Linked DNA regions of Lepisosteus oculatus. The protein of the gene in region 2 purifies or fractionates together with the protein of the main gene of each other region. This does not show direct contact. Links are inferred from orthologs where the notes say so. Each region holds a gene or a part of one and is shown on either strand. Other genes may lie near its edges.

Region 1 (10,506 bases), on a different chromosome or scaffold from region 2:
TATAATATACTTCAACAATTTAAAATTCTACACAGAATAAAATTCACACAACCAGCTTTTTAAACATTTATAATGAGATGTTACATTTCTATACATTGTGGGTAACAAGTTCACAAACATTACATATCCAGTAAGGACAAAATGCAGTCTTAACATCCATTTAAATTAATAAATTATTACTATAGTTCTTCTATAATATTGGTTATATGCAGACCCTTTTGTAATGGCCAATAGAAGCAGATTCAACAATGGCAGAAAAGTCCAAATTCAAAACTTCACCATAAACATGTTCCCCTCCACCGCCACACACACCCAGTGGCAGTATTCAAAGCAGCGCCTCTTTGTATATTATAGCACACAATCCACTTCTGTCAGGAATGAACAGGTTCAGAGTCCTTTACCATCTGTTACACACCAGTAACACTGCTGAATGCTGTTTGTGGTTAAAACAAGCAAACTTGTTTGTAGTCACCTAGCTGATGTCTCTGACAAGCTGGGAACACGGAGGAAGACCTAACTACGAACACTGGACAGGGGGTTGGGAGGAATGACTCAGGATACAATGGGAGAGGATGAATGTGTAGCAGATCTTCTTACCCGAATGAATCATGTACAGTATCAGTCACAAACCTACACAACCGTAACCTCACATACCACTAAAAGCAGCAGTTTTCTTCCCCCCCCCACCGATGTTGACACTTAAATTCAAAATCACAATTTTAAAAAGATACAATTGTCTAAAACAAAACTTGACTTTTACCAGACGAAATGTACCAGCTATCTCCTACAATTACACACATCATATGACATAAAGAAATAGCCAAAATAAATAAAACTTGCACGACCAACGACTGTTTTATACAGGACCAAATATTTTCATCCTTCAAATTAAGATAGAACAGATTTGTATGGAAATGTCTCATCCCTCTTCCCCTTTTCCCACTATTCTCCTGCATGGAATGGAATTCTGAAAATGACACACAAATAAAATAAGAATGGCAGAGAAGGTTTTGTGAACTTTCTTCTTCCAAGCTATAATCTGCTTCAGGACATCCTCTGCCTCTTCGGGGAGGTTTACCGGAAGTCCTCTGCGCTGAACATGCCTTTGGCCCTGCGCAAAATGGAGTCCTTGGAAGCATCATAGGGATGTTCCTTAGATGGGATCTCAAGCACAGCTGGGATGGACTGCATGTGAGCATCAATAGCGTGCCGGATCATTTCTGCAATGAACTGGTTGATCAGAATGATCCCAATGTCATCTCGAGCCAAGAAACTCCTAGAAAAAGATGAAAAAAAGAGGGGTTACTCAGGGGGATACAATCTTGAAAAACACGAGCACATTCTGTGCCTCACTCTGTATGCAGAATATATGACTGCAATGATTAATCATGAGGAACACATGCAAATTGCATACAAATTATCACAGAAACAACATGCCATCAACCTCCAGCCTACTGCCTCACACACAGCAGTGGCGATCTGACACAGAAGCACGTGAAGGCTTGCGTGCCCGCTGCGTTTTTTAAATAAGGAAAAAAGGAGGAACTGAGGATGTGTCATTATTCCAGATGTATTAGAATAAAAACGGTTCACTAGCATTTTTATACTGCAAACATAACGCTCTGCAAAAGTTTAAGCTCAACTTAAAATGTATTTAGACCGTAATGCTTGACACTTGCAGGTCTCAGGTATTTAACTTGGAACATAACATTAACGATACCGTTATTGCTCTGCAGATGTACTCTTTTCAAGCAGACTTACTTTTAAGTCTTCTACTAACTAACAGAGATGTCATTTCTATTTTAAATTTGACCTTGTGCAACTGGATTTTCGAGCATGTCTTTAGCGATATGGAAGAAAGAAGGCTATCATCAAAACCAAGAAAATAATCATTTCCCCCATGCTGATCTTACAGTCATGGCCAGTGTTTTAAATTATTAACCACACTTATTGCAACACAATATTTTGAATTATATATTCTCTAAATATATATGTCTCGTCGGCATTGTTAAATCAGGCCAGCTCAAACTCACTTGAAGGTCTCTTCGATCTCGGTGATGCTTGTGTCCTTTTCGACCACCAGAAAATTGGGTTTACGGTTCTTATTCAGCTCTCCAACGCCTCCGAGCAGGAATCCGGTGCAGGTGTCTTCATCTCCGATCACCGCGATCAGCTTGCCTCGTCCTGCCATGCTGGACAAAAAACGTATGCCTGACTATTTCACAGAGGAGTCTGACAATACTTTCTTCGGTTATACTCTCTTCAGGATAAACGAAACACCTGAAAAATCTCAAGTTAACGACGCCTGATCAGCTGACCGCGCCGTACTTCCTTTTTCCTGACAAGTCACGGGATAATTACGTCATCAGACTCAGCGACGCTAACGACCATCGATACCTGGAACACTAGATAAAATCCAGTCATGGAGATGTTTCCATTGTCCTTTCTCTGGCGTTGGAGAGAGCTTTGCTAACGGAAAAAGTATTAAGAAGGACCTCTAATTCGTGTATTAAATATAGACCTAGGCTTATTTTACAAAGTGTTAGAACCATTTTAAATGACTAAAATCATCTTGTGGGTGAGTTTTGTCAGCATTGCCCAATGTTAGAGCGCTGACGTAAGCGAATTTACAGTATGTGTGAACTAAGACATTACGGAAAAAAACTTTGGATTAATTGCCAAATGCAATATTCGTTAAAATATTGAAATACTGGGTTTGCTGTGTCACTCATAACCCCTCCCCCCATACACACACACTGCAGTGGTGGGAATAAAAGGGTCTGAGTTCAAACAGCTCAGATGGGAGAGTATAGTACAGTTTCACCATTACTGCACACAGTTGTTTTATACATTTTCAAGATTTTGCATTATATTACTGCGTCATTATATTGAAAATGTAATAAAAAAACTAAACTGAATTTGATCGAAGGTCAACAGTGTGCCCCAGCAACTAAGACGATACATCTACGGTACCCATCTTAAAAGGGTAACGTAGCTGGACTTGGAGATCTGGCAGTGCTCACCGACATTCTCTAAAAACAAAGGATTTTGAAATATGTATGCTACGAGCTAAAAGACCGATTGGGCGTTTAAGTGAAAAGGGTCACACTTTGGTGGGGGGTGACAGAATGCAGTTATTTTTTAGATTTCTTCTACTTGTTGTTTTTATTTTTATTATTAATGAAAGTGTAATATGATCTGCTCCGTCTCCCAAACCCAAGCATTGCAAACTACCAGTTGCTCAGAGAAGACTGAACCCTTAGTAGGGATGCTGTTTCAACCACACTTGCACGTAGTGGGCGGGTCTTCTCTATGCCACAGGACTATAGCCTGTGAACTATTGGATAACGGGCGAGTGCTCACCGATCCCACGCACTGGATTGGATGCGATCACCGCCGGTCACACAGTTATGTTACTATGTCCCCACGCAACGTGCAATGCCAGTTGGTCACTATGAGAAAAGTGAAGTAATGGATTTGGGAAAGATTTGTATTGATTAGGTTTGTTATATATTGCTTTTTTTTTCAAAAGACATATGAAGAGCATGTATTTTTGACGCTATGAGAATGATTTTTTTTATATTCACACGAATGATCAGAGTTAACGGCAAGGTATATAAATCTAGATTTTTCTAATAAAAAAGATCCTATTTTTAATTCTCCATGTTGTTTTTTAGTTTGCTGTGTGGTTAAATAGTTACGCAACAACTATATTTGTATTCATTTTTGCAAAGACTATGGTTGACATTTTGAAAATGGGAAACTTTCAAGATCTTTGCAATGATAGAATGACCCGATTGGAAAGTACTGATTTTCAGTGTTTGTATTTGGTGTCATACCTTGGCATATTCCGCTCAAAATTGAGACTTCTGCCACGTTTTTGCAATTCGTTGTCTGTGAATCCGAAAGAAGAAATTTACGTACAGTAGTGGAAGAATGGTGATCTTACCTCGTACAGACGAGTATAATTTGCTGTTTTTTCACCAAGTCAGGTTACACTCGTATAACGTCGTGACTTCTTTAGACGCTGAATCTCACCTGACACCTTGGATACAAATTCAAATGTCGCGGTTGTAGATGACGATGAATTATTCAGACTCGGAGCACCAACACTGCCAGTGGAGACAAGACCTGTCGTAGCCGATTCCCAGTCTAGTTTGATCAATGATATGTTCGTATGATATTGTGGCGGTCGGTTATACGAACCGAGAAAACCCGTTTCGTTGTTTTTGTAATGCCAGGCTGTTAAACCCCCCATCCTGTTCTGTTTTTAGATGCACGGCGTGGTTGCCTTGGTTACAGACTCTGTAAATTGAGCTCCTGCCCTTGCTGCTGCTGTTGGTGGTACACGAATTGTGCAGCTATGGGAGTATGGTGTAAATTAACTACTGATAACGACTAAACTCCAAATGAGGCAATTGCTGTCTTTTTTACACTGTCGACCATTTTTCACCGAAACCCCGATTTGATAAGGTAAGGAAAATTATTATCCTTGCATGTTATGCCCTGAAATTGTATTTATGTACAGTATGTGGTCTTAGGGATACAGGACACAGTGATCGCAAACATGCTATCATAATCAGACATCCTAATTGCTCAGGGCATATTTACTGTATGTATTTTATTAAAATAAAATAGAATAAATAAATCGCCGTGTTATTTCTCATTCTGCTAGACTCATGAGTTTGACATCATTATCCTTATCCGATTTACTGGTTTATTTTTGGAATGGAAAAGACGCCCAAGGTGAATCTTCTTTTGCACCTGAGTGAACAACGCCTGGACACTGCAGGGCGATGAAGTCGTGCATCCCTTGTCCGACTCGAAACAGTTCACGATGAAGAAGATATTTAGCTTTGCGAAGAAGAAAAAGGGGTTTTCTCCCAATTCGTCTGACACGGGGAGTGTGCTGTCTGCTGGATATGAGCTAAAGGAAAAAGATCTAGGAAAGCTACACAAGGCTGCTTCTACAGGGGATCTGACCAAGCTCAAACAACTTGTAAAGAAACATGATTTCAATCAGCTGGATAAAGAAAACAGGTAAGTTTAATTTTCTCTCTAGACAGCTTTCCTGAGAAAACAGCACTCTGAAACAGTTTGTTTGTATCGTGTAATGAAACATTGCTAACAAATTCAATATGTGTTAGGTATTGTGTTGTCCCGTATCAAGACCTGTTATCCTGTATTTCTGTTGATTTATAAATCCAGTTTTCTTTCACATTTAGGGGAATATGTCAAATTAATTCCTGTCTCCAGAAATGTCTATAAAATGGGATGTACACTAACCTGCACATGATTTACAATGGTTGCAATCATCCGAACAAGCTAGATGAGCCCAAGGTCTTAAGTCCTACCTCTCTTGTTCCTGTGCAGCTTTTAGTTCATGTTCTTTCTGGTGTAATTGTTAGACACTTGTAAATGCTATTAACTGTTGTCTGTCTTTTGGTCTGTTTTTAATTGGTGGAGGTAAGCTGCAGAGTTTTTGATAGCACTGTAAAATGGTAGTTTATTATTTCTGTTGCAGTGTGGATTACAGGGCAAAGGCCTGCTTGCTATTTCAAAATTACATTTAATTGGAGTGGCAAATATTTCACATTTAATCTTTGTAATATCACATTTTGTTTATTATTTTAAAAAATGAATTGATTAATTTTTTCAATTGTAACGCTACATAAAGACATTTTGTTATTTAAAATATGCATTTAATAACATTTTTAACTTGGGTCACATTTGTTTTGCAAATATGCCAGAACTAGTCCAATTTCTAGTTTTAGGCTGAGCATTAATTTGATATACAGTATAGTGTACTTGCCATAGCAACTAAGCTACAGCAAATATTTCTAAACATAATAAGTGATCCGATACGATCTTTAAAAGGATAACCACTAAACATCAAATGTCATCCTCCACTTATTTTACTTGCAATTTGCATCAGCATCCTCTGGAACATTTGTAGATAAATTTATTCTAATGGAAAACTAATGTTCTTCAAAGATACATGTGAAGAAGGTTTTAGAACATTCATGTGAATTCAAATGAACGTTAATGGGCCAATTGGTACTTAAATATTTTTCTAATAAATGTAAAAACCTACGCGGATCCCATGCAGTTTTGAGTATGCTACAGGTTCCACTTTGTACATCTTTAGAAATTGCTCTGTAGCTGGTGTACAGATCCAGTCCTAGAGAACCAGAAGGTTTTTGGTCATTTGCTTTCTATTTTAGGCCTGAATCGCCTCATTGAATTTACCTAATTAGCCAAGTTGCAGACTTACCTTATTCCTAAAGAAGCTGGAGTTTTAAGGATTCCTATAAAACCCACTGGACAATGTCCAGAGTTGGATTACCCTATGTAACTAGGTGTCACAGTTGTTGGACAGGAGATGGGAGTAGCATCCTTGTGTGGACTGGTAGTTAGTTCCCTGTTATCAGCTGTACTATAGTACTTGTATCCTGTGCCATCCTGACAAAACGTCTGGAAACCCTTCCATTTTATTTTCTCATTTTTAAAAAAATAAACCTGTAAATAAGGGATCCCACTTGAGTTGATTGTCAGCGTGCGCCAGTTACACAGACCACCGCCAGTGAAACTACCAGTGCCTGGTGGGACCTACAGAATGTCACAACTTGCAGGCATCTTAGTGACTTGCAATGTAGACACACCCCAGGAAGTCACTGAGTGGGGTTCTGGGAAGTGTAGTTCTCTTAGGCAATGCAGTGTTTCTGAGCTTTGCTAGCCAGCTTCGGTACCCTGCTTTCCATGGTTTGTGTTAACTTCTCCAGCTTGGGAAGCATCCTATGCTAGCAGCTATTACCTGCTACAGCAAAGCGTTAGGACAGGATTGCACCAATATTATTTCCTTTTGAAGACTTTCCTTTGTTTTGTCATTAAACTGTTATTAACTTTACTGTAATAGAAAAAATGGCTAGAGTCCATGTTGTATCTTATGTCTTACCTTTTCAGTTCATGGCTGATTTTGATTGCAACCTCACTGTTAACATTTTAGCACACAGTCTTCATTGTTGCTGAGGTTCTGAAGAATGCAGTGGGAATAAGGGAGGGAAAGAAAAAAAAACCCTAAATAGCTGAGAGAATTTATTCAGCTGATTACTATGCCATACATTCTAATAATTAGAATGCTTCAGTTTGTCACATATGATCATTTTCTCAGTCAGGTGTGTTGATTAATGTTGATAAATTCAGGTATAAAACTATAGTCTTTTCTAACAGCAGTTTTTTGAAGGCCTGGTGAATTTACATTTTCTGCATTATAACTATTTAATTTTTATTAAAATTGTTGACATTTTAGTGCACCTCATATTCCCATGTCTGTTTTAAAATATCTAACTTGGGTTCTTAACTGTTTTTGCTGCCATTAATATCAAGGTGTGCATTTATTCTTTATTGATATGATGTCTATCCAACGGTACTGTTTTTAACTGGTCCTACTCATATCTGACTGGCAGACAGCATTTTGTTTTCTTGGTCCTCATAAATCTTCTATGGCCCCAGTCAATCATGGTGTGCCACAGGGTTCGGTCTTGGGCCCATTGCTTTTTATAATTTATATGAGTTCTCTTGATCAGATTATATGCAAACATGGTCTTCTGTTTCGTTGTTACGCAGATGATACTCAGATTTACATTAAAACATCTGCCCCTCTGATCTCCAGCCTTTGTCATGTTACTCTTGTCTGTGTGACATCAAGCTCTAGTTGACATCAAATTCTTAATGCTAAATAGTTACAAAATCTACATTTTACTAGTGCGTAGCAAAAAACTGGAAAGCTTCACAATAAATGTTGATGGCTTCCTCATTCCGACACCAGTCATAGTCAGGAATCTTGGAGTCACACCTTCTATTTTTTGAGCCACACTTCACAAAATGTATGAAGATCTCTTTTTTCACCTAAAAATATAGCGAGCATTAGGCAATTTTTATGAATGTTGGATGCTAAGTGCTTGATTAATGCATTTATGACATCAGGGTTTGATTTCTGTAACTCTTTGCCCTGTGTGCTCCCTAACACTTTTCTTAGTATGTTACAATGTATCCAGAACTCCACAGCTACACTTCTGACTCACACCAGACCCTGGCAACATATCTCTCCTACATTCAGATCTCTACTTTGGTTGCCTATAAAGTCATATATTCAATAAAACATCTTGTTACTGACTTTTAAGCCTCTAAGTAATCTGTTCCATCATTCTCTGAACTCCTGCATGTTTACACTGCCTCCCATTGGCTCTGTTCAGTTGAGACTGGTCCTTTGCTCACTGAACCTAGGACTGAATCTCAGACTTTCGGTGACTGTATTTTATTTTTAGCTTTTTATTGTATATTTTTTATCACTATGTACAGCGTTCATGGGTTTACAGAGGTGATTTATAAATCATTTTTATATGTATAACAGCTGCAAATGACCAGATTACAGTCAATCCTCCGTTTAAATGATTTCACTTTAATAGACTTTGGAGTTAATAGACCCAATCTGCTAAATGTGAATTTTGAGGTTCTATATTTCTGAAGTTATTAAAGTGGCTTTCTTGGTTTAACAGCAAAATGTATGTAGGTAATTAAAAACACTAAATCAGACTGATGAACAGCATCAAACGATATTATTTGGATGCTTGTTCACAAAGGAAAAAGAGTAGTCGCCTTTTCGAATCTGAGATTCTGTTTTAAAGTCGTCATTTAAAAGAACTCCCGCTGCTGTTCCTTCCTGGTCACGCAGGGTACAAACCCTGCAGGAGTCCAGGATCTGAGCTGTTTTTATAATGGTTATTTACCATACTCGCCTTTCCAAAGTAATTGCAGGATTTGGTCTGGTATAGTTAGTTTCATCACTGTTGAACTGTTCTGCTGCACCTAATTTGTGGGTTATGTCATCTACAACGATGGATTATTTTTGTAGCTTTGCCTTATGTTCTTAGTTTGATGCTACAACAGTTACAATACATATTAATACACTGACACTTAGTTACATCTGTAAAAAACAGAGACAGTTCTTCATGTGTGTAGTTTTTTTTAATTCCTAAAAGGATATATTTTACATATAAGACAGGACTCACCTGAGTGGCATGCAGCAGCCATTATTTGCTGGTGGGCCAACCACACAAATAGATGAGGAGCAGTTTCTCACCAAAAGAAAGTACTTCACCGCTTGAACTAAACATAAAACATCCACGCAACACAGGAACAACAACAGAACTATATTCTGTATAATAGCTTCGTATAGAGGCTTAAAGGTTTTGCACATTTAGTATACAGTATGTACACAATTTACAGTAATTTTAAATGTTACTGACATCTTACTCTAAAACAGAAATAGGATAAACATGAAGTTATATTTTCTTAACCTTGTTTTCTCTCTTCTTTTTCAGAACACCCTTACATCTTGCCTGTGCATATGGACATGCTGATATTGTTCGTTTCCTGGCAGAAGGCAAAGCAAAATTAAATCTCTGTGACAATCAGAACCGATCCCCTCTCATGAAGGTACGTTGTATAAAACTAGTTCTGGAAATTAAACTTGGTGGATGGTGACCATATTATCCACTCAATTTGTTTCTTAGCTGAATTTGACCAAAAGTACAGTAAAAGCTGACAGAGTAACATCATGAAAAATGTCCCAGTTCAAGAGTTCCTTGGTGACATGCCACATTAATGACACTGTATCATCAACATGATTTCAGAAGCATTTCCAATCTGTATTAGTAAAGGATGAAAAAAAGAAACCTTTGGCTTTGCTTGATTTCCTGTATCGCCTTAGAAAGTGTTAGAAAATGAACACTAAACTTACTATATATAAAAATATAATAAATGTCATTGTTCAGGGTTATGGTATCTAATAATAAAATTATACATTTGGGGACTATGTAAATTAAAGTGCTATTATCCATTCTAATGTTACTGGGCAGTTATATGCAGACAGAATGTCCGAAGAACCTAATTCTACCTTTCGTGCACTACATTCCAATTTTAACATTAAAATGAGTCATAACATTAAAATGAGTAATTTACATATACTCACATCACTTTTCATGTATGTACTGTAAAAAAAGTCGGTTTCCTTGCTGTTGAAATGATATACTTATTACATCACGTACTTGACTATAGGGAAGTAACATTTTGCTACATATATTCTGCTCAGGAACGGCACAGTGGTGCAGCATTGTTGCCTTGCAGTGCTGAGGTCCTGGGTTTATTTCCAAACCTGGGGTGCTGTCTGTGAGGCGTTAGTATGTTCTCCCCATGTTCACATGCTGTAGGTTTCCTCCAGGTGGTCTGGTTAATTGGCTTTTGGAAAAAATGGCTGTGGTGTGAGCGCGCACATGTCTGTGTGTGCTCTGTGATGGACTTGCGTCCTGTCCAGGGTGTACTCCACCTTGCACCTGGTGCTTGCTGGGATAGGCTTCCCCATGACCCTGAATTGGAAGTGGCTAGAAAATAAATGGATTGATATGTTGCTCGGATATATTTGAACATATTGTTTATGAAGATTTC
Region 2 (10,619 bases):
AATGATTCTGCATTTATAGCACGGAGCCTGACCCTGTTCACAGGAACGTGACAAAAATGCTGGGCCTCTCAGAGCAAAAGCACAATGTAAAAAAAAAAAAAAAGACCACTGCGGCGCACCACCACACGATCTGTGTTAAGAATACTCTGCCAACTACACCGCGCTTGGCTGGGGCCCTGTGCCTGGATCTTACCTGGAGCCGTATAATGAAGCCCGGCTGAATTCCCAGCCTTTCCCTGGGAAACGCAGAGCTGCTGCTCCGAGGAAGACGCGACTGTAGCCGCAGCAACAGCAGGGGATCACACAGCGCGTGCACACACACACACACACATACACACTGTCAGCTGACCCGCTGACTAATCTGAGCTCTCGCATCCCACTCAAGATCAGACTCTCCCCCTCCAACCCCCCCCACACACAATCTGGAGCTCTTCCCCTCTGCACTGACGCTGCGCCACGCCAGCGCCACTGTTCCTCCCTCGGTGTCCCCAACAGCCACGGGCCCCGTTCGTCACAGCCAGGCATCGCCCCCGGCCCCGTCACGAGGGACAGCATCACCAAAGGACACTACCAGGCCCCCTGAAGCCCCAGTCTCGCAGGCTTAGCGGGGACGCAGGGACCTCCACAGTTTTGGTGTTTATGTTCAAGCCACATGTAACCTCTCTGTAATCATCATCACTGCTCTTTGGTTCAAGCGGTCTCTGGGTCGTAAGCGAGATGAGTAAAGTACGCATTTTAAATATGGTTACAAAGCACTTTACATTCTTTAAAATCATCAAGAACAAAAGCACTGAAAACTTCAAGTCACTGTGTTATATCATAATCGCAATTAAGCAAGAACTGGATGGTGAGGTGTGGGGAGGAGGACTTGTTTTGACCAGTTCAGCAAAAGTTTTAGTCCAGACAGCATCACCACCTGAGGCACTGATCTCCCCAGAGCTCAACAAGGCTGGGCCTGGTCCGTACTGGGATGGGAGGCCACCAAGGAAAAACCTGTATGTGGTGCCGGTGGACCAGTAGGTGGCACTTTTCAAACCTCTTCCCCAGAACGCTGACAGGGAGACACCATGTTGTAGGAGATGCACCCATTCCTTCAGATGTAATATTAAAGCAAAGGTCCAGACTGCTTGGCCATTAAAAATTCATTAAGCATTAAAATTCATAAAGGGTCATTAACCCTGGTACTCTGGCTCAACTCCAGTCTGGACCTGTACAACCTGTCCTTAGATTTTACTCCTAGTTCAACTGGAGGAGCAGTTTCTCGCTCCTCCACCTGATCTTCTGTGTTGGTAAGATGCAGACGCCAACCACATGGGAACTGTACTTTAATGGTGGATGAGGTGGACCCCACCATTTTGTAGAGAGCTTTCAAACGCCTAGGGATGAGAAACGCTATAAAACGACCATTTTTCAAAGAAGGGCTGGAATGAAATCTAGGAGGGGCTGTGACCCCTGCAGGCACGATACCTAAAGCACAAGAGAATCACCCCTCTTTCTACACACCCCCTTCCACAGTACTGCCACACTCGGACCGGGACATTCTTTTCTTTCCCTGCCTACAACTCACAAGAAGAGAAGCCTTCATTAAGCAGAACAGCCCAATTGATCCTTCACACCTTCACAGGCATGCCTGGTCATATCTGTTAAAACTGCAAAAAGAACAACAACAGTTACCACAGCTCGGCAGACAACTGATGACAAAAGAGAACAGAAAGTCCTGATTAAGGACAGATTTCCCCATGTTGCCACATGCAAGCCTGCACTTCCTGGACTGCAATCCATTACAAGAACCCGTCACAGCCATTTCTCCATCCACCCTGCCGCACTCGATGAGCTAGCGGAGGATCAGGAAGCTGACCTCTTTGTTATATACCTGACCTGCCACTACATGCATTACAACTCTGGACAACATGTGTTCAGAAATACCAGCACTTCCTCTCCTTCCTCAAGTGAGGTCACTTTACTGTCTATCTGTCTATGTTTTTGCAAAAAGCAGTTTATTCCTGGCCAGGGTTGTGGCAACCCTGCGTATATCCCAGTGCCAAGGGCACAGGGCAGGACCACGCGAAGGGGACACACACGTGTGCACAGGGGGCACAACTTACAGGAACCAGTTACACAGGTCAGGGTGACTTTGGAAGGAAGGAGGAAGTCAGGCACTGGAGAAAAAAAAACAACGTAAACATGGAAAGAACATGCAAAACAGATTTGTTATTTTACCAACGACGTACCTGCTGCACAGAAGACCTGTGCGAGAATGAAGTGTCACGGTACCTAACACTGGTTTCCTGCTGTACTGTACCTATCCATTGTGCTACAGGGCTCCTGCTACACAGCTCTTTGCGTGAAGAGAGCTGAAATGAAAGCCACGCAGAGATTTGAAGTTGAGATTTGGCATTGCCAACGCACTGGCTGGGCTGCTGGATGGACAGCCTGCATGATTTACGCTCACCCGTGTGGAGACCGACCCCCTGATGTGGGCTCCAGCTGAACGAATAATGAACTGATCGACAGTAAGGGGCTTTGGGAAAAACGTCTCACTGCTCGGCTCTCAATGTGGCACCCTCCCCCCTCCCGGTGCAGCTGTGTGATCAGGCACGGTCACGTGACCTCCTCTGGCTCTGACTGGTCAGTATCTGTGGTTGGGCTGCACGTTCAACCACTGATAATCTGATCTGGGCAGGGGTCTGGACACAGTCTTCACTCAACTTGGCCGTTGGTACAGTATTGTTGTCTGTTTTGTTAAGCACCTCATAAGACGTTTACTTGGAGGCTTTGCCCAAGATCAGCATGTTTGCGCAGATTTTGCGGCACAAATACAATCTGGTGCAGATGAACATGTGCAGGACACCAGCCAGCAGCTTTGGACCCCTCGGGCCATCATTAGACCTAAAGGGGGACCTTTGTTTATCCAACCCAGACCTATGCACTGAATCACAAGGTAGCGATTACATGACAGTGGAACAACTGCATAGGATCATGCTATAAAAGAAAGAAACATTAAAGGAACTTCCAAAATGGAACAATGCATCAGAGTCACCTTCTCATTCACGGTTATGACTCACTTACAGACAGTTTCCACTGATCTTCCGTCAAACCCACCAAGTTCACTAACACTCCACATCAAAGCACAGTAGTGCCAAAAGTGTAAAATTAAAATCGGGATCTTTGACCCATCCCTGAAAACTGCTCATACTTCATTCACAGGAGGGTAGTAAGCACATGCTCTTGAAGCATTCCTATATAAAAAAAGGCACTGGCTCGTTGCAATGCAGGTTCTGAAATTAGGTTCGTCGTGAGACTGACTCACCGCTGTGCTCCCCTACCACAAACCCACCCAGCCGAGGTTCTGTCACTCTGGAGCTCACAGTCCCGCTGCGTCACAGCGCACGAGGCTCAATGGACACCTCCAAGCCTCTGTCCAGCTTGCCGTCAGCGATGGTGAACCATCGCCAAATGAAATGAACAGGGCAGGTGACTCAAGGGAGTATTGAGGGTCCTCAAGGGCACAGACAAAGTCAGCCCAGTCGGCCTCTTCTGAACGAGCAGTGAAACAGGAACTAGAGGCCAGTGCATTGGAGACGAAGAACAGCAGGCACTCCTGTTTGCCAAGTCAAAGAGTTTCAATGAGTTCTACTATTACAGCAAGGGTCCTACTGTGCCAACAAGAGCCCATCTGGAAAGAAAGCCAGCAGGAGTGGGGGAACCCCAAAAGCAAAGCTGGGAACCCCTGCCTTATCCTGCATCACCCGGAATGGAAGACCATACTCGGGGCACATCACCCTTACAATATCCACACCACTTTTATGTAAAACAAAATGACAAAACTGCTAGACCGATCAGATGATACAAATGGACTACAATACAATACATCATTCATAATAGATCACTCCGTTTTCTACGTCAGATCATAGAATACATTTTAGGGGAATGCAGTTCTGATACCGCCCGGCATGTGATGGACCCCCATATATCTGTTACGCAGCAACTGTACACCCAGCCCCACTCCAGACACCCCATAAAGATGCTGAGCGCCCTTCGGAAAATTTCGCCCGGTCTGCTGACTCGATCACATGACGTGTCGATCGTGTCTAATACACATTTGTTAAGACGAGCCAACCCTCCGACAGAGCGAAGGCAACTAAATGCATAGACGGGGAATGAGACGGTCACCGCTACAGTTCAGTCCCGTAAAACAGGCCGATACCTCTGAGGTCTGAATCCGTTCAACAAAATCTAGTCTAGGGTACTTCGTCTCAGCAATACCCGTCAGGATACGTTAGCTATCCTCCATCGACGTAAACACGCAACACATTCTTAACTTGAGACATCTTTCCGCATTGCAATTATTCCTATTCCTCTAAAACTGAAACCTACACGACCCCTGGCAAGCCCAGCGGTATTTACCAGCAATGCGTCCGAAAACACGTTTGCACCCACGAACAAACCTCTGTTGCGCAGTGAACTCGCATCTTGACACTTCAAAAATACGATCGGCTCTGTAATTGTGATCGCTCAGATATTAGCGTTCATCGAAAAAGCGTAATCTAAAATTATTTCATAATACGGTATATCACACCGAGTCTCCATCTGACGAGCACAACATGCTAGCCGATATGGAAGAGTGTCTGCTAATAATTCAGACGCTTACTGGACTACAGTACGGTTAGGATGTTTTAATACGACTGAAGGACCGATGTTGCATTTTGTTTTCAATTATTTTTTTCACAACTGCCGTACAGTGCAATGGTGGCCGAGGACGGTTTCGACAGCTAAAAGAAAAAAACAAAAACGAAGGCCTGTGACAGTACTGCCGCACGAAGCGTGAAATGAAAATTGTTTTAATTTATTCACATCAGAAACCCGCAGTGTTTATTTTGCACATATGGATCAGCTGTCCAGCCTGTCACTTCAGCGGCGCATAGGTCTGCTACCGACTTACAATCTGCATTTCATTGAAAATGTAATTTAAGACACGCAGCAACACAATAAAACCGGCTAAACACATACAAAACAGTGATTAAAGAGTCAAATACCGTTACGTTACCTTCGAGAAACGAAATTATTTAAAGCTTTTTCTCTCCCTCCTCCAGCAAGGAACTTGTCAGCAAAGCGAGAGATCGGGGAGTCAGCTGACTTCATTCACCGCAGGCTGAACTACCCCTTCGACAGGAGAGGAAACTGACACCATACTGGCTCAAAACTGGATGCTGGGCTGCACCGCTAAGCTAAGCCGTTTCTAGAGCCAAGATGGAGATGATTTAGGCCCAGTTTCGTCACTTCCCCTATATATTTCGCACCCTCCGTCAAATTGAAAGAAAACAGCATTATGGGATATTGGAGGAACTTTATCGAACGCGTGTTATCCAGTTTAGTTCTTGATAAAATAATTTGAATAACTAAAACACTATTATGATTCATAAAGGATGATGTACTTAGCTTTTAACTATTCAAAAATATGCGTCTCATGTAGGGAGTCATTATCTTACCAAAATATTTTTTAAAATATTAACCCGTAACCGGCGTCCCAAATTTATAATAACGTTAGTATACTCGAAAACTGTTTTTGAATAATTGCCATTGAAGATACCAACAGTAGCTGTTAATAGATAGCCTGTCAGTAAAATAACAGATTAGTTAGTTCATTAATTTCCATAATTGCGTAAAGAAATATTCAGATATATTACGGGAGGGCACGTGTGTGTATTTCTGGTCACGTGATCTATCCGATTCGCTGTTGGATTAGATATTTTCCTTCAGTTCAACTCAAATGATTTTTAACATTTAAACATACTGTCGCATTTCCTCGCAATCAATTTATTTTTTTTAAATGCGGTCGTTAAAATATTTTAATCGAAAACGGCAACGTCGGCCCGAGTCAAAGGTCACGGCCTTTGGACGTTTTTTAAAAAAACAGCCGTTAAATTCGTCGCTTAATCGAATCCCATTTTCAAAATATTTTCACGCACTGAAAACCGGTCGCAAACCGCGTCAGGGTGGCGTTGGGGGACGGGCAGGCGGTTTTGGGGTCTCCGCGGGGGAAGGCAATATTTTTATCCGGGGTAGGGGGGTGCGGAGCGAGCGGGGTCAGAGTTCAGCCGTGTGTGTGTGTGTGCGCGCGGAGGGGGAGCGAAGTTGATCCATGTGGTTCTGGCTGACAGCGGTGCTCAATCCTCACCCGAACTCAGCCCGAATCCCCCCCAAGGACGAGCCGCTGCCCTCCGCTTTGACCGCGACACCCCCGGGAAACAACTCCTGTCCACCATGAAAGGGTGAGTAGGCGCCGTCCGCCGAGACGCCTCTCTCCCCATCACGGATAAAGTTTTTTTTTTCTCCTCTTTTCTCTCTCTCTCTTTTTTTTTTTTTTCCGGAGAGGGGTGGGGGTGTTGCGATGAGCTTTGCTGTGTGCATGCTCGCCTGGTGCTGCTGTGGGAAGCAGGAATCTGCCAACGCCAGCAGAAGCGTTGTGACCGCCGGGCGCCTGGTTAGCGAGCGGCGAGTGTCGCTCCTGTTTTCTCATCCCCAAGATGGCAAAAGTAGGATCGCTGGGGTTTTGTTTCCCAATCCCCGTTTTGGTTTTCCCTCGCGAGGACCGGCCGAAAAACAAAACCGCTGTTTGTTTTAATCGGATCCCTTCTGTATTGTGTGTGTGTGTGTTTTTTAAAATGAAAATAACGTAGAAGCGTTTGCTGTTGTAAATATTAATTTTCAAGTCTCCCCCCACCCCCCTTAACTTTATAACCAGTGTTTTTTCTTCCGCCTGTGTCTTGATAGTGAAAGATCCTTAAAACAGTGTACTAAATGGGTTAACGAAGGTGTGTTTGAGCACAATTGTCCGTTGGATCCCTTCTGAAGTCACGCAGTGGGCGATATCGGACGCAGGTCGGTTAGTATTTGGGGGTGTAATAGCGCTTCGGCCGACGTCTTCGTTGTGTATCACGGTTGCGTTGGCTAAAAGGTTAAGACACGTTCCCCCGCCCCGGGGCGTCACCAGTAGATCGACTGTTATTTGTTGTAGAAAAATCAACAGGTAAAATCCGGGGGGGGGGGGGGTCCGGGCGCGTGCGGGGTCGCCCAGCCCGGGACGCCTTTTGGCGCGCGCTGCAGCAGTAGAGGAAGAAACCCCCCCCCACCCCCGCCACGAGACACCTGTCCACACCTGTCTCGTTGTTTACCCCCCCACTGCCGGGTGGGGAGCGCTTCCCTGGCCCCTGTGAAGCTTTGACCCAAAAGCTGCTTTTAAAAGGGCGGTTCGGAGGTAAACCAGCAGACAGGAGCCTTCAGTGGCCGTGTTATTGGTTGACGAGTGCATGCTGGGTGGGGGTTCGTGAACATGATTCTTCACGAAGAGAAAGCAAAACCAATTTAAGTGGGATGTTGTTGTTTCCCCCCCCCATTCGCAGTGGAGTGCAGGCGAGAAGATGTATCTGCAGGCAGACCTATCAGACACTCCATACAGCATGTCTGCAGGTGTCTGTGTCTCTCCCGATCCTGCCTGTGCGTCTGGGCTTGCTCGCTTGATTGAGGTGTTGGACTGTAACTGAAGGTCACTGAGGGGGGTTATAAATGAGAGGAGGCCCATCCTGTTCATTAACCAAAAAAACGTTGGTACATTAAGAAGTTCGCAGAGAGAGAGAGAGGAGGCCATTTGAGTGAAAAAGGCTACTTCGACGCCCCTGTACAAAGCACTTGTTTCGGACAAGCCCCGGGTTGCCCTCCGGGCGAGGCGCTGCAGCGTGGCATGCGCTGCGGGGGGCCCTGGACAGAGCGGGGTCCTGCCAGCGCCGCGTGCCGCCCTCCTGCCGCCAGCTGGTGCGGTATCTCGTGACCCGGGCAGCTGGTTTAAAAATGGAGTTCCAGCCCCGGCCGGCCCCTATAAATACACCAGGGCGCGCGCTGGGCTCGGGGCTGCCTGGGGCACAGGTCCAGCCAGGGCGGGTGGGCCCTGTGCCGAGGAGGGGGCAGCTCTCTTCCCAGCCCGTCGGCCGTGCGGTCGTCCTGTGGGGGTTCCTGATGCAGAGCTCAATAGGAGAACAAGGGCCAAGTCTGACCTGAGCTGAGCAATGGATGTCCAACTTGGTTCTCTTCGCTCGCTGCCTGAGACTTTTCTCCTCAAGTCTGCGCCCCCTGCCATCGACAGCAATGGCTGCCCCCTGCTTGCTGAAGTCTTTTTTTTTTTCTCGGAGTTACCCAGCTGTTTTTGTGTCTTGCTCCCGTGTTTCTGTTTTTCTGCACAAAGAAACGGAAGTCGACCCTCGGCACGCCCGTGGCGTGGTGAGGAACTGAGTGCGGTGTTCAGCACCGGCCCTCAGATCTCGGCCGCCAGGGAAGGAGACGGCTCAGCTGCGGTATTGTGGACGCTGCGCGGTGCCCAGGGGCATCCTGCAGCAAAGGGGCTTGAACAGTTCCTATGGAACAGGCTGAGCAACACCCTGACTCGAGGAGATCGTTGGATCAGTTTGCCTACTAACCACCAAATGGGCTGGGCCCCTCTCATTTGTGACAACTCGGCTGAGAGACTTCGCTTGCCTGGAGCCCATTCCCACTGCTCTGTGAGCTGGGGTCCGGCTCAGAACCTTCTGCCGTGCAAACAGGAAAACGAAAAAGGCAACAGTAAACGTAACTGCACGCCGTCGCTTTGAAAGAGAACGGGACTGTAGTAATAATGGCCGGGACTGGGATTTGAAGAGAGGTGATAGTTCTGAAGTGGTGCTAATTTGTGCAGTTGTGAACCCAGCGCTCACTTGCTGGACATGGTTCATAGTTTTTCTTTGCCCACATTTCCATGACCTTTGGTCCCCTCGTTGAAGAACACATCCAAGCTCGAAGACTCTGGGCTCGGTCTGGACTGAGAGGAGGCAGCTGTGCCAGTCCTGGAGAGCATGGACATTGGCGGGAGTGCGTCCAGCTCCGCGGTGTAAAAGCTGGCCTGGCTGTGGGCTCTGCTGGATAGCAGTGTGTACAGCTGCCGCCTGCCCTGGCTCTGCTCGCGGGCTGCGAGGAGCAGCTGGGAGGTGTTGGCGAGCTGGGCAGCTCTTTCAGTGCTCTTTGAGCTCATGTGCTCGTGGCTCACCCGTGCAAGACAGCACCCAGGTGTATCAACGTTTCAGTCCTTTTGTCAGGTCTGCGGATACGTTTGCACGGACAGACGCGTGCTGTTAGTGTCATTTGAAAATATTTGCATTTCTGCTTCATCGGTGCGGTTTGTTCTTTTGTACTGGTTTAGCCTGCAAAGAATCAAACTGCTGTGCAGGCAGAGTCTTCATTTTCCCTCTTTGCTCTGCCCCCTGCCCATGCTGCTATTCCATACAAGAGCACCACAGAACGCACGGCCACACCTGGAGTTTCCGATCCTGCCTGTGCGTCAGTGAGATGCATTGTGACGGGAAAATTCTTTACAGCATTAAATAGTTTGTTCGTTGATCACAAAGTTAGTCAGTTAATGTCTGCGCAGCGCAGGAAATGCATTGGAAATGGGTCTTCCTGCCGATCCTGGGAAGGGGTTTTCACCACGGCAGTGGTGCTCAGCTGGTGTCCACTGTGGGCACGCCACAGCCGTTGACCAGTCTGGTTCTGTTCCAGTAGCCGGATCGAGCTGGGAGACGTGACGCCACACAACATTAAGCAGCTGAAGCGGCTGAACCAGGTGATCTTCCCAGTCAGCTACAACGACAAGTTCTACAAGGACGTGCTGGAGGTGGGGGAGCTGGCCAAGCTAGGTGAGTGGAGCTGGGGGTGTCCTCGATTCTGTGGGGAGTGCGAGGGGGGGGGGTGATTAAGGGCCGCGCAAGGGCAGCGAGACGTGGGCCGGGGAGGCGAGCGTGCGCGAGGAGGGTGGGGGTGGCGTGTCTGCGCAGGGCCTGCAGGTGCAGGTGCGGGTGCGGTCCGTAGGGGGCGCTGGTGCTCATGGGCGAGAGCTCACTCTCGCTCTCCGCTGTGTTTCAGCGTACTTCAATGACATCGCAGTGGGAGCAGTGTGCTGCCGGGTGGATCACTCTCAGAACCAGAAGAGGCTCTACATCATGACCTTGGGCTGCCTGGCGCCCTATCGCAGGCTGGGGATAGGTATGACTCTGCCGGCCTGCTTCGAAAGGCGCTCTCTTCTTCAGGACGCAGACTGGATGTTTTTGTTATTTTTTTTGCTGTTCGTATGCGTCCCACAAATCGGAAGGATTGTGGCCCGTGCTTTTTATCAGCAGCTGCTCTTCTGATTTTGGAAAGAGCTGAGAGAGTGGCTGACGGAGAGGCGGGGCTGACAGCGTTGAGACATGAAAGGGAGAAACTGCTTAAAATCAGATTGGTTGAGTTAAATACATTTTTATGCATTCCCAGGGGGATAATTTAAGCACATACTTGTAATATGGGCCCCAATCAAAGTGTGCAAAAAAGTTTGGAAAAAAAAAACAGGGTTCTGTGGTTGCCCACTGCAGTCATGAGCCCCAGTTAAGGGAAGACACACACGGAGCACCAAGCTCGTTCAGTCTAGAGACTCGCTACAGATCTCTGCTAACACTTTTCGAAAACATCACGCAACACGTTGTGAATAAAAGATGCATTCCTCGCGTTTCAATTTCGAAGCTTTGCGGGTGTGTTCTGGTCCTTTTAATCCACAGGCCAGG
Region 3 (11,002 bases), on a different chromosome or scaffold from region 2:
GCAAGCAAATAGCACCTTTGCTCATCATCACACTGCTTCATTAGCAACAAACACTTAATAAGCAGTATATTTGTAAAAAGAATCCTTCTCATTGGATAACATACCTGAATTGGCAACGGTGTCAAGGGAGAACAAAGGCTTTTCCTCGGTCCTGTACGAAATAACAGACCTAAGAAAAAACAAAAGAAGCCGTTTTAAATGCAACCCGATGCTGAAAGCTCCAACGTGCGAGTTTAAAATGAGGTTCTGGATGTTTACCTGAATCGGTTGAAAATGATGGAGCCTTGGTCAAATTCAAATCCGGAATCGAGCAGCTCGGTGGCAATGGTGGCAGCATCCCCAAAAGTGGGAGGTTTGCGTCCTACTTCCTTGCAATTGAGTAAGAAGTGCTTTCCATGGGTCCTGCCAGGTAAAGTTCAAGTACCTTTATTGCCATTTGCACGAACAGCGCGTTGGAAATCTTACACCGTTTCACTCAGTCAGAGAACATAAAGACAAAAGGGTAAACACACAGACTATGTGCAGGACACTATATACACAAACTGAAAAAAGACTCTACACAACCTGTACACACTATTATGCAAAAAAAATCCACACAAGAATGGCTCCTAAGTTACACGTGATAAAAGACATTGCGTCTACGGAGCTGAGGTTGATGTGGGCCTCCTATACGTTATGCCGGTTGGCACTGTCCTTGGGAAGAAACTGTTCGTAAACCTGTTCCTTCGGGTCTTAATGCTCTCTTGCTCACGACGCCGAAGGTTATGTTTAGCGTCTCGCCAGGTAAACAGACTTTGGCTAGGGTGGAGTGGGTCTTTGAGGATGTCGTGAGCCTTGCTCCTGCAGCGGGCTGTACTGAGATTCTCCAACAAAGCAAGTTCTGTTCCAATGATATGTTTCGGCTGTTCTAATCGCTCTCTGGAGAATGTGTTTGTACTTCTGGGTAGCACCGCCGAACCACACTAATACCTCCAGTCACAATGCTCTCAATGGCACAACGGTACAAACTAACCAGTGCTTTTTTGTGGGTGCCACTCCTCTTTAGGCACCTCAGAAAGTACAGACACTGCTGGGCTTTCTTCACAATTGCACTAATATTCTCTGCCCAGCTCAGCATATTGGTAATATGTAGGCCACGAAACTATATATAAAGTATAAATGAGTGCCATTGTAAAAAAAAAACACACAAAAAAAGTTTTTGTTATTGATTTACAAGAAAGTACATTATGAACTTTTCTTTTAAGGGCAGTACTTAATACAAAGTTGGTATCGGCTTTCAATATTTTGTCTGTCTTCACTTCAATAAAAGTGAAAAATAAAATGGCCAGGACTCAAGAAAAGCAATTAAAAACAAAAACAGCGTGCAGCAACAACAGACATTTGTTATGAATGACTAAAGTCAATTACAAGATCAGTTAACAGGACTATCATAAAGTAGGGATTACCTTTGAAGGATACCTCTCAGCTTGTCCCCAACACTAACCACCATGACCTCCTTCCCGGCGCTGGTCAGACTGGCGATTTCATTCTTCATGGCCTTCGCAATGCTGGAGTGAATAGCACCACACAGACCACGGTCGGAAGAAACGCCAATAATGACGTGCTTATTCTTGTCTTCTGGAGCCTTGATCTCTGCCTTTTCATACAGAGCTGGAAAAATATCAGAGTCACTACTCAAGCTTGGCAGGTAGTTATTACAGTCACCCAAAAGCCTGTTTATCCCACTTAAAACATCTTAACTGTCCCAACCTATCTATTTCCTAATCACTTTATTTAATTCAGGATCACAGGGGAGCCAGAGCACATCCCGACATGCAACAGGCACAAGGCTGGGTGCACTCTGGATGGGATGCCAGTCCATCACTGGTAACAAAGGTTACCACTGACTCAGACACACACGCTCACACCAGGGCCAGATTTCTCAGAAGCCAATTAACCTTCCATTATGTCTTTTGATGTGAGAGGCAACCAGAGCACCTGGAGTAAACCCACGTGAACACATGAACATACAAACTCCACACAGATAGCATCCCAGGTCTGGAACTGAATCTAGGGCCCCATCTCAACAAGGCAGCAATGCTAAACACAGTACCACCATGCCAGCCCATCTGAAGTTATAAAATAACTCAACAGAAGTATAGATTATTCTATAGAACTTTTTTTCCCCCACATAAGCAGAGAAGATTATGTGGCAAGTGCTTTACAGAAGTGTAAGTAAAAGCCCTCAGCGTCTTCGTCTTTAAATCCTGTTTTCTACAATGTAAAATCTTCCTTGAATAATAATGCACTATTTTAAAAGACATTAATATATCATTTTATAATTTTTAAAAATCTGCTTTTAAAATAACACAAACAGCATTTTTTTCTGAAAGACTAGCTTCCATTGTGGCAAATATCTAAATTAATATATTGGGCAGTTTGTGACACCCTGTGACAAACTCCTGGAAACTAATAACATACCCAGGGCCCCAGTTCCATAAACACGTGCAGGTTTCAAAGATCTCTCAGCCCTTGAATATTTTGCTGCAGCAACCATTTTCATGGATTTGGTGATCTTCTGGATATTCTTGATGGACTTCAGGCGAATGGTGACTAGAAAAAAATATATACACTAAGAACAATTGCAAGAGATTTTTAAAAAGGTTTTAATCATTTCAACTGATCACTGCATGGAAACAGGCTAGTATTTAAAAAAGTGACAAGAGTACAGTTACATTTCATATCCCATTGCACCAATGTTTGAAAAATATTATTCACTTAATTTCTGGCTACAAGGAATAGTCATCTTGGTATTTTCTGTCCACTGAACAGAAAGATTAATGCATGTGAGAAATTAAGACAGTCTGTTCACTTAGGTTTTAGTCACAGAAGTTTTCCACAATTTCAATGCATTTCCAACCTTTTCCCTTGGCAAAGTTTCATAATTCACATTTATATGCCTTGCTTTACATTTCACACTCGTCAGATCTTTACTAACCTAATGATGCAGACCTGAAATCAGCTAATCATGAAAGACTAAAATCCACTAAAACTATGAGCAAAATGTCCAAATAACAGGATAAAATACACTTTATTAAACAATACTTACTGTCCTTCAGTGTAGCCATGTTCCTGACTTGGCCACTGCAAGAGAAGCTAATATTAGTCAGTAATATTTGTAATGATTCATTTATAACATTACAATTCAGTGCACCTTTGGCATGCAAAACAGATTCAAAAGGTAGTCTGTGGAATTTACAGGATGTGCTTTTTACACAGTAAGCTATAGGAGGGTGGAACAAGCTACACAGCCACTATGTTGAAGGTGATATCCGGCCGTTTGTTTGAAAAAAAAGCTGAGATATGACCCACAGATCAAATAGCTACTAAAACTCTAAATGCCTATATATGCCAAATGGCCCACTCATGTTTGTAGCCACATCAAATTGAATAATTTCTTAAATAATTGCACCACAAACAAGTTTTCCACATCAATGCTAACAACTTTTTAATCACCCCGTAAAACAGTATAGCACAGGCTCAAATAGGAATTTCAGTTCAGGCGGTTTTAATAACTGACACTAATGATCTATATCGTTAATATAGATATTAACTGTCACAATGACAAAGGAACAATACATAGTAAAACATATGTTTTTAATATGTCTGATGTTTGCTTGAAACATATTCTCAATAATGCAATGAATGCCCTGTTCGTCTTGGAGAAGTGACATTGAGAGCTATATCGTTACCGCAGTAAGCATTTATGCAACGGCGGCGTTTCAAATTATCATGAGGTGTTGTGCAAATGCAAATTTAAAGAGCAAAAAATACTAACAGTGGGTAAGATATGAATAAAGACTTAAATGTTTCTTACAATGAATCTCGCTTAATAGCATGAACTTGGCCGCCCTACAAAAAAAACTGCCCAGGCCTACCGGTAAAATAGTGCCAAGCAAGATCTGTCTCTACGGAACAGCACAAAATCTGACTCGTGCTAAAGCATAAAATAACCAACCGCACATTAACAGATATCGTTTTGGATTTAACCCTGCAATTAGATTCACGTTACCATTGTGGCTGAAAAACCAGAACGCTGGCTCTCGCGAACATGGTGACACCAACGAAGGTCAATCTCCACTCACTGCGCACGCGTAAACTTCACTTTCCGCAGAAGAAGTCAAACAAATCCACGTCACATGGCCCAACTCAGTCTCGCGATGGTCAGACGGTGTGGGTAAGCATGACGTAATGACCCAATACCGAAAACAAGGAGCGCAAGTTGTTGATGACGTGAAACGCAACAGTAAGGAGAGCGCGTTGTGAACTTCTGGTTCCAACAGGGATCATCGTTATTTTGTTTTGTTTGTGAACATTGGCTTTCCAAAATGGGAAAAGCGGAATTTCTGAGTCCCAAAGCTATAAGCAACAGGATAAAGTCCAAAGGCCTTCAGAAATTAAGATGGTATTGTCAGATGTGTCAGAAACAATGCAGAGATGAGGTGAGTCTGGTTAACTTTAGTTTGCACAACGTTTTACATTTTAACAACTAACAAATAACACTTAAAAGCTAAACGTACGATAAGGTATTAAGTCTAAATCGTGTTCATACCACACTACAAGAAAATGTCGCCACAAAACGTCTCACAATTATTATGTTTTATGAAATATTATCATACAATGTAGTGACGAAATACAACTAGCTACTGCGTGCTGACCGGCAGATGCAACTGTCGAGTATTTTAAGCTCATAATTATTGACTGCAAATGATAATTGCTGTGATTCGAGACGGAGAAAACGCGAAGTAAAGGTCTGAATGAGTCCTGTTGTGTTCTTGCTAGAATGGCTTCAAATGTCACTGCATGTCGGAGTCGCACCAGAGGCAGCTCCTTCTCGCCTCGGAGAATCCTGACCAGTTCATGGACTACTTCTCAGAGTGAGTGTCGAACTGGACAACTGAAGACTGTTCCTTTACCATTTCCATTTTCTGACTGTGCCCTGTGTTGTTAATATATTAGGTGATTAGCCAATGGGAAATTTTGGAAATCAGAAAGAATGAAGTACCTAGACGGTGACGGTGCCGATAAGAAATAACATTCTTCTTCTTCTTCTTTTTCACAGCCTTAGTCCCAGACTGTCCTGGGGTCAGCTGCTTTGGTTGCTCTTCTCCATTTGTCTCTGTCGAGCACATCTTCCTCACTCACTTCACATACCTCCATATCTTTTCTCACACAATCTATCCATCTCTTTCTAGGCCTGCCTCTTCCTCTGTTACCTTCCACCTCAAATTCCATTACCCTCTTTGTTACTTCCTCAACGTCCCTCCTCATGATATGTCCATACCACCGTAACCTCGCCTCTCGCATCTTCTCAACCACATCCACCACCCTACATCGTCTACGGATTTCTTCATTTCTGATCTTATCCTTCATTGAAATCTGCAGAATCCATCTCAACATCCTCATTTCAGTTCTTCTCATCAAGTTCTCTTCCCTCTTTCCAACTGCCAAGCATTCAGCTCCATATAGTAGTACAGGTCTAATCACAGTCTTGTACATTTTGCACTTTAACTTTCTGGGAATTTTCCTGTCACAGATTATTCCAGTTATTTCTCTCCACTTGTTCCATCCAGCTTTCACTCTTTGTTTTACTGCCTCCAGTGTTTCTCCTCCCTTTACCAGTTTTGATCCAAGGTATTTAAAGTCATCAACTTGTTTCAGTTTTCCTCCATTTGTCTCCTCAACATTGGTCATAGTATCTCCTCTTCTCTCCATTACCATTATTTCAGATTTTTCTGCATTCATTTTCAGTCCACCCTTTTCCAGACTCCTCTGCCATTTGAACACTTTCTCCTGTAGTTCTACTTCTGAGTCTGCCATCAGTGCCACATCATCAGCAAAGATGAGTTCCCAAGGCACTTCTGTTCTTACCTCCTAAGAAATAACATTCGTTGAAGAAAATTAAAAAAAATATTATATAACTTAAAGCGGGTGACACTTTAACTTAGAGGAAATACCTTAAAGCCTGCTTATGACCATAACTGTGTAGTCTGCCTGTTCTGCACCAGGCTCTTGTTGGAATGATCAGAAGACCAAAATTCCAGGTTTGATGAATAAGGTGACTCTGATTCAAGTCAGATCCATTCATTCCAGGAACTTGATGAGGCCTGTACATCACACGTATCAGATGCTGATTTATGTTATGAGATCCTGACATGAACATACAGTAGTCCAGTGTGTCCTGGACTAGCACCCTCTGTATGTTAAATACTACTTGTTTGGGGAATGTCATGGAGTCTATAACGATAGTTCAGGAGGGATGACGGCAGCCAGGTTCAATCAGACCGGGCTGTCGGTAATTCACAATCAGTCCTGATGTTATTTCCTCTCCTAAAACCCTTTAAATACTGTATGTGATCCCCTTCTCTCCCTCACATACATCTTTTGCAACCCACCTCCACCCCTTCTCCACCTTTGCAGCTGCCCCTTGGTCACTCCTCACTCTGCATAGAGGTCTCAGCCTCCTCGTCCTATGGCCAGGAGGTTAGCCCTCAGACAAAGGGGGTTAAGCCAAATTTTGACTAAACGCTCCATAATCCTTTCAGTACACTTAATTACCTGGTGTTATTATTCCTAATAAACTTCTGATTTGTTATAAAGACTTGAACAGCTGAAATATCATGTAATATAATTGTGGTATTAATGCTAACCAAAAATACATAAATTATATTTCTGATTAATATTAAGGTTTACTTGAGCATTTATGATTGCTTGCTATTAATGCATAGAACTGATTTGGTTGTTTGCTCTTTTAGGGAGTTCAAGAATGATTTTTTGGAGCTGATTAGAAGACGTTTTGGTAAGATTAGTGGATTAATACCTAGCTATGCTTTAGTTAAGTCTTTATTATATTAAAGTTTAACATATTAAACACTGTTCATACAAGAAAAGTATGGAGGAGATAAACAATTATCAATTTTGTATTTTACAGTTTGCCTGTGTTTACATTTGCCATTGTAAAAGTTGCAGAGAACCTCATCTGCTTTTAACATATTCTTTAATGGATTAAAGTATACAAATAGAAAACATTGATATATCATTTTAGTAATGATTTCTGTTGTATTTGCAGGGACAAAGCGAGTCCACAACAATATTGTCTATAATGAGTATATAAGCAACAGAGAACATGTCCATATGAACTCTACTCAGTGGGAAACCCTCACAGACTTCACTAAATGGCTTGGTAAAGAAGGTAAGTCTTTTTAAAATGGATAAAGATCTACCAGGGATATCAGTATTTGCAGTAGTGTTCTGTGGGTGAAGGGGAGGATTTCTGCCTTGAATCAAAGGGACATTTAAGCCCATGATTGATTGTCACAAAGCCAGTTGTGGCATTGTTTTCTCTGGGTATCATTTTTGAAAGATTTTAAATATATCTAAACTTAACGTTTCACATACTGAATCATAGGATTTATTAAATATGATAGAAGGTTTGTAAAAAGAAATGTCTTGTTCCATGTGATATCTAGTTAGACAGTTGTTGGTAATGCTTTTCATTCTTCTGCTTTAATTATTTTCTTGTGTTAAAAATCTTATCATATTTTTTAAGAGAACCTTGTTTATCCATGCATATTTTCACACTTTAACACTCACTCTCCAAACATCGGTACCAGATCTTACTTTAAAGCCACAGCTTTGGTAATCATACACCATGAATAGGATGGAAATCTTTTATAGGCATGCCCAGTGAAATGGAAAAAAATATTTCCTTGCAGGCCCGCAATTTCTTGCCTTTTTGAACTGTTTTGATAAGAGGTTCCTAAACTTTGTAGGGCTAAAGTATAAGAGAATAGAAATCTGTTTTTCTATGTTTAGGATACTGTAAAGTGGATGAGACACCTAAAGGCTGGTATATCCAGTACATTGATCGGGATCCTGAAACAATCCGAAGGCAGGAAGAATTAGAGAAGAAGAAAAAGCAGGATCTGGATGATGAAGAAAGAAGTGCGAAATTTATTGAAGAACAGGTTCGCAGAGGCAAAGAAGGCAAGGAGGAGGTAATCACAGTGCTAATATTAGTAAGAGCATTCGCGACAGATGAGAGAAGCTTACGTTTGATTCACATCTCTTCAAACTTCATATAAACCAAGTCCATTTCCCAGCTGAAAACACCACATTTCTGCCAATTTCAACAGATGGCCTGGATTAACTTTACATCACAGTGACTGTTGGTTTTGTCTCATCGGTTCCTTAAGCACCAGTTCCTTAAATCCGATCACGAATCTCAGAACCCATTTGCTATACATTTCACTCCTGCAGTTTTAACCTACATTCTTGTGAGTTTATTTTTGTCAGCGGTTAAATGGGACAAATGTTCTTTTAAACAGTATGATCTATTTAACATTCTTTAATGACACGTACAGTGTTTCAGGTAATTATAGCTAATGATCATGCTCAACTTAAAGGGCAATGAATACTTAGTTCTTAAAGTGTGCTTGGCCTGTGTGGAATAAATACCCAAAATAAAGAGTAGTAATCACTTTAAGTTCTTTCTCTACAGATCCTCACTCTTACAGCAGTTAATTATTTAAATCGTCTCCAGCAAAATCAGTAAGATCTTGGTCTTAGTTACCATGTTATTTTTCTAGGAAACTCCTGTCTTTACAGAATTGAAAAGAGAAAATGAAGAAGAGAAGGGTGAGTACTTTCAACATTAATGTATATAAAAGTGAATGTCATTAAAAACAAGTTATTTTGCTCGTAACTACAAGTAAGTTTGTAGTATTCATTTATCCAGTTTGAGGTATTTTAGTGCCAGTATTGAATCTAAGGAGAAAGAAAATATGATAAGATTCACCAAAAAATTTAAAATAGCTGACAGAAATAAGGTGTGGGATAATTTATAGCAGATCTTTAGGTCTTGAATCCATAATCCATAAAACTTTAGAAAAGCTCTGTTTGTAAACATATGAATGTGTCTTGACCTAAAATAACATCTAATCATGCCATGCAAGTCCATTTTTATAATAGCTATTAAGTCAGCTAATGTAAGACTGTGGACACAATCTCTCCATCAGTAATTTAATAATTAACTGTCACCCAGTGAACTGATTTACAATTGTTAGAGGCCCTTTTCTTTCCTATAGTGGCAGGTTTTCTGGTACTGCAGTATCTTCATAGACTGCCCTGGCACACAAAGCTTTTTGCTCCAGAGCACAGTTTACTTCTGATTTTCTGAAAAGTATCAGAAGAAATTTCAAGTATCTTAAAAAATGTAAAAGCAACAACAAGATTAGGCCATTCACCCCATTAACGTATTTGCCTCTCAACTTAGATAGTTGATCTGCGGATCTCATCCTGCCATTTCTTGAAGGATGCCTAGGTATCTGCTTCAACAACATGCCTGGGTGAAGTTTCAAATACTGTAAGAAACTTCATAGATACAGAAAAGATTAACTCAGTTATTAATTTTGTTGTAGATGTTGTGAACTCAGGCATAATGGTCTGGAAAACCTTTACATGTTGTTAATATTATTTATTAATATTGCAGTTGTGTTTAATTTGGCCAAGGGATTGAGTAACTCTGCAGCATCTTCTTCAAAATCAAGGTAAGGATGAATATTAATAGTACCATGTAATGTAATTTCAGGTTGTTTTAATTTTTAGCGATTGTTCTTTTTTCTTTTATAATTGCTTTTTCTGCACAGCAGTGTTTACACCTGTAGATTAGAGTATTATTTTAAATGGGAGTTTAAAATGATCTCAGTTGACTTTTACATTTAAGGAGAATAAAGACTTGATAAATCTTTTTGCACGTTTTATGATAAAAAGACTGTTTCTACTTCCATTTCTACTAACATAAATATGGAAGATTGTATGTTACAAGATGATATTTTAAAAAAGTTATATTAAACTTGATAATCAATCTAAACGTTTGTTTTGATGGGACTCTTTTTATTACCTGACTCTCATTATTTTCTTTTGTTTTCTTAATTGTAATATAAATGCATTCCTAAAAAGAAGAACTAAAGCATATCATTTTCCCAGCACTTCTCTAGGACCAAGTGCCCTGCAGGTTGCAGCAACCTCTGTAAAGAGAAAGGAGTCTAGTCATACCTCAGAATCGAAGGAGAAGAAGAAGAAATCTGCACTGGATGAAATCATTGAGGTACTGTTTCTAAATTGTCATTATAGAAGTCTTTGTTTTCAATGTGTTGTGCACAGTACTAAATGTAGGCCCTTATTTACAAGTGTTGGTGAAATATACCCATTAGGCAGACCTAATAGGGCATTTATCCAAATTAAGATTATGTGTATTTTATTACATCTTTCATTTAAGATTACATGTTCAGTTATGTTCATTTTTACACCCGGGAGTTATGACTGATTTTAACAATTTTAATTTGAAACATTTAATGTCCATGTCCTTACTTATTAGTAAAGCCCATAAGGGCTATAAAAATTCAGACCTATTATGTTGACATGAACGCCAAGTCTCCTGCATTTCATTTTCACTAGTGCTCCAGGATTATAAAACATGTAAAACCTAAAATGAAAAGATAGATACTTTATTGATCCCCTGAGGGAAATTGCAGAAAAGATGTTACAATTATCCCCATTTATACTTTTAAATATCATCTTGTGGATCGGTTTATCAAAACAGTTAGAAAATTAGATTGTTTCGTAATTATTTTAGATGGAAGAACAAAAAAAGAAAACAACAAGAGTGGATTACTGGCTGCATCCTGTAAGTCTTCAGATTTGAGTCTTTTTCACACTTGTACACGGTCATAATGAGAGGCCAGCCTCTTGTTCTACACAGTCAACAACTTCTTTGTGTTTGAACGTAATTAGTGAATATTGAACATTAATCATATGGAACGATATCTGCTGCAAAATCTAACTGCTGCACTGTATATCCCCAGTTTAGTTTATAACAGATATCTAGAAGGGGATGAACACTGCAGAGGAGCCACTCTATACTGTCAATTAATTAATTTTGTTATCAAGATCTAATAACCGG

What was found.
Region 1: the proteins of atp6v1ab (region 2) and atp6v1f fractionate together in Homo sapiens (co-fractionation; 3 studies listed by BioGRID and IntAct, with this or other methods). This does not show direct contact. The link is inferred for Lepisosteus oculatus from reciprocal best matches to the Homo sapiens genes ATP6V1A and ATP6V1F.
Region 3: the proteins of atp6v1ab (region 2) and atp5f1c fractionate together in Homo sapiens (co-fractionation; 3 studies listed by BioGRID). This does not show direct contact. The link is inferred for Lepisosteus oculatus from reciprocal best matches to the Homo sapiens genes ATP6V1A and ATP5F1C.

Annotation. Positions count from the first base shown.
Region 1 is NC_090702.1:45,633,474-45,643,979, reverse strand, and holds atp6v1f (V-type proton ATPase subunit F), read right to left. Parts: upstream 4,042-10,506; 5' UTR 3,950-4,041; intron 3,613-3,949; exon of another isoform or gene 3,364-3,612; intron 2,193-3,363; 5' UTR 2,192-2,192; coding exon 2,034-2,191; intron 1,277-2,033; coding exon 1,075-1,276; 3' UTR 53-1,074; downstream 1-52. Other genes in the region: ankrd26 (ankyrin repeat domain-containing protein 26), read left to right, coding at 4,838-5,040, 9,384-9,498. UniProt on the Homo sapiens protein: Subunit of the V1 complex of vacuolar(H+)-ATPase (V-ATPase), a multisubunit enzyme composed of a peripheral complex (V1) that hydrolyzes ATP and a membrane integral complex (V0) that translocates protons.
Region 2 is NC_090700.1:4,082,945-4,093,563, reverse strand, and holds the start of atp6v1ab (V-type proton ATPase catalytic subunit A), read right to left. Parts: upstream 5,181-10,619; 5' UTR 5,048-5,180; intron 317-5,047; exon of another isoform or gene 194-316; intron 1-193. Other genes in the region: naa50 (N-alpha-acetyltransferase 50), read left to right, coding at 6,265-6,272, 9,583-9,719, 9,946-10,065. UniProt on the Homo sapiens protein: Catalytic subunit of the V1 complex of vacuolar(H+)-ATPase (V-ATPase), a multisubunit enzyme composed of a peripheral complex (V1) that hydrolyzes ATP and a membrane integral complex (V0) that translocates protons.
Region 3 is NC_090702.1:43,108,005-43,119,006, forward strand, and holds the start of atp5f1c (ATP synthase subunit gamma, mitochondrial), read right to left. Parts: upstream 4,161-11,002; 5' UTR 4,093-4,160; coding exon 4,052-4,092; intron 3,124-4,051; coding exon 3,089-3,123; intron 2,593-3,088; coding exon 2,461-2,592; intron 1,651-2,460; coding exon 1,446-1,650; intron 403-1,445; coding exon 259-402; intron 170-258; coding exon 105-169; intron 1-104. Other genes in the region: kin (DNA/RNA-binding protein KIN17), read left to right, coding at 4,368-4,481, 4,822-4,916, 6,795-6,838, 7,109-7,231, 7,855-8,036, 8,628-8,676, 9,530-9,587, 10,027-10,147 and 1 more.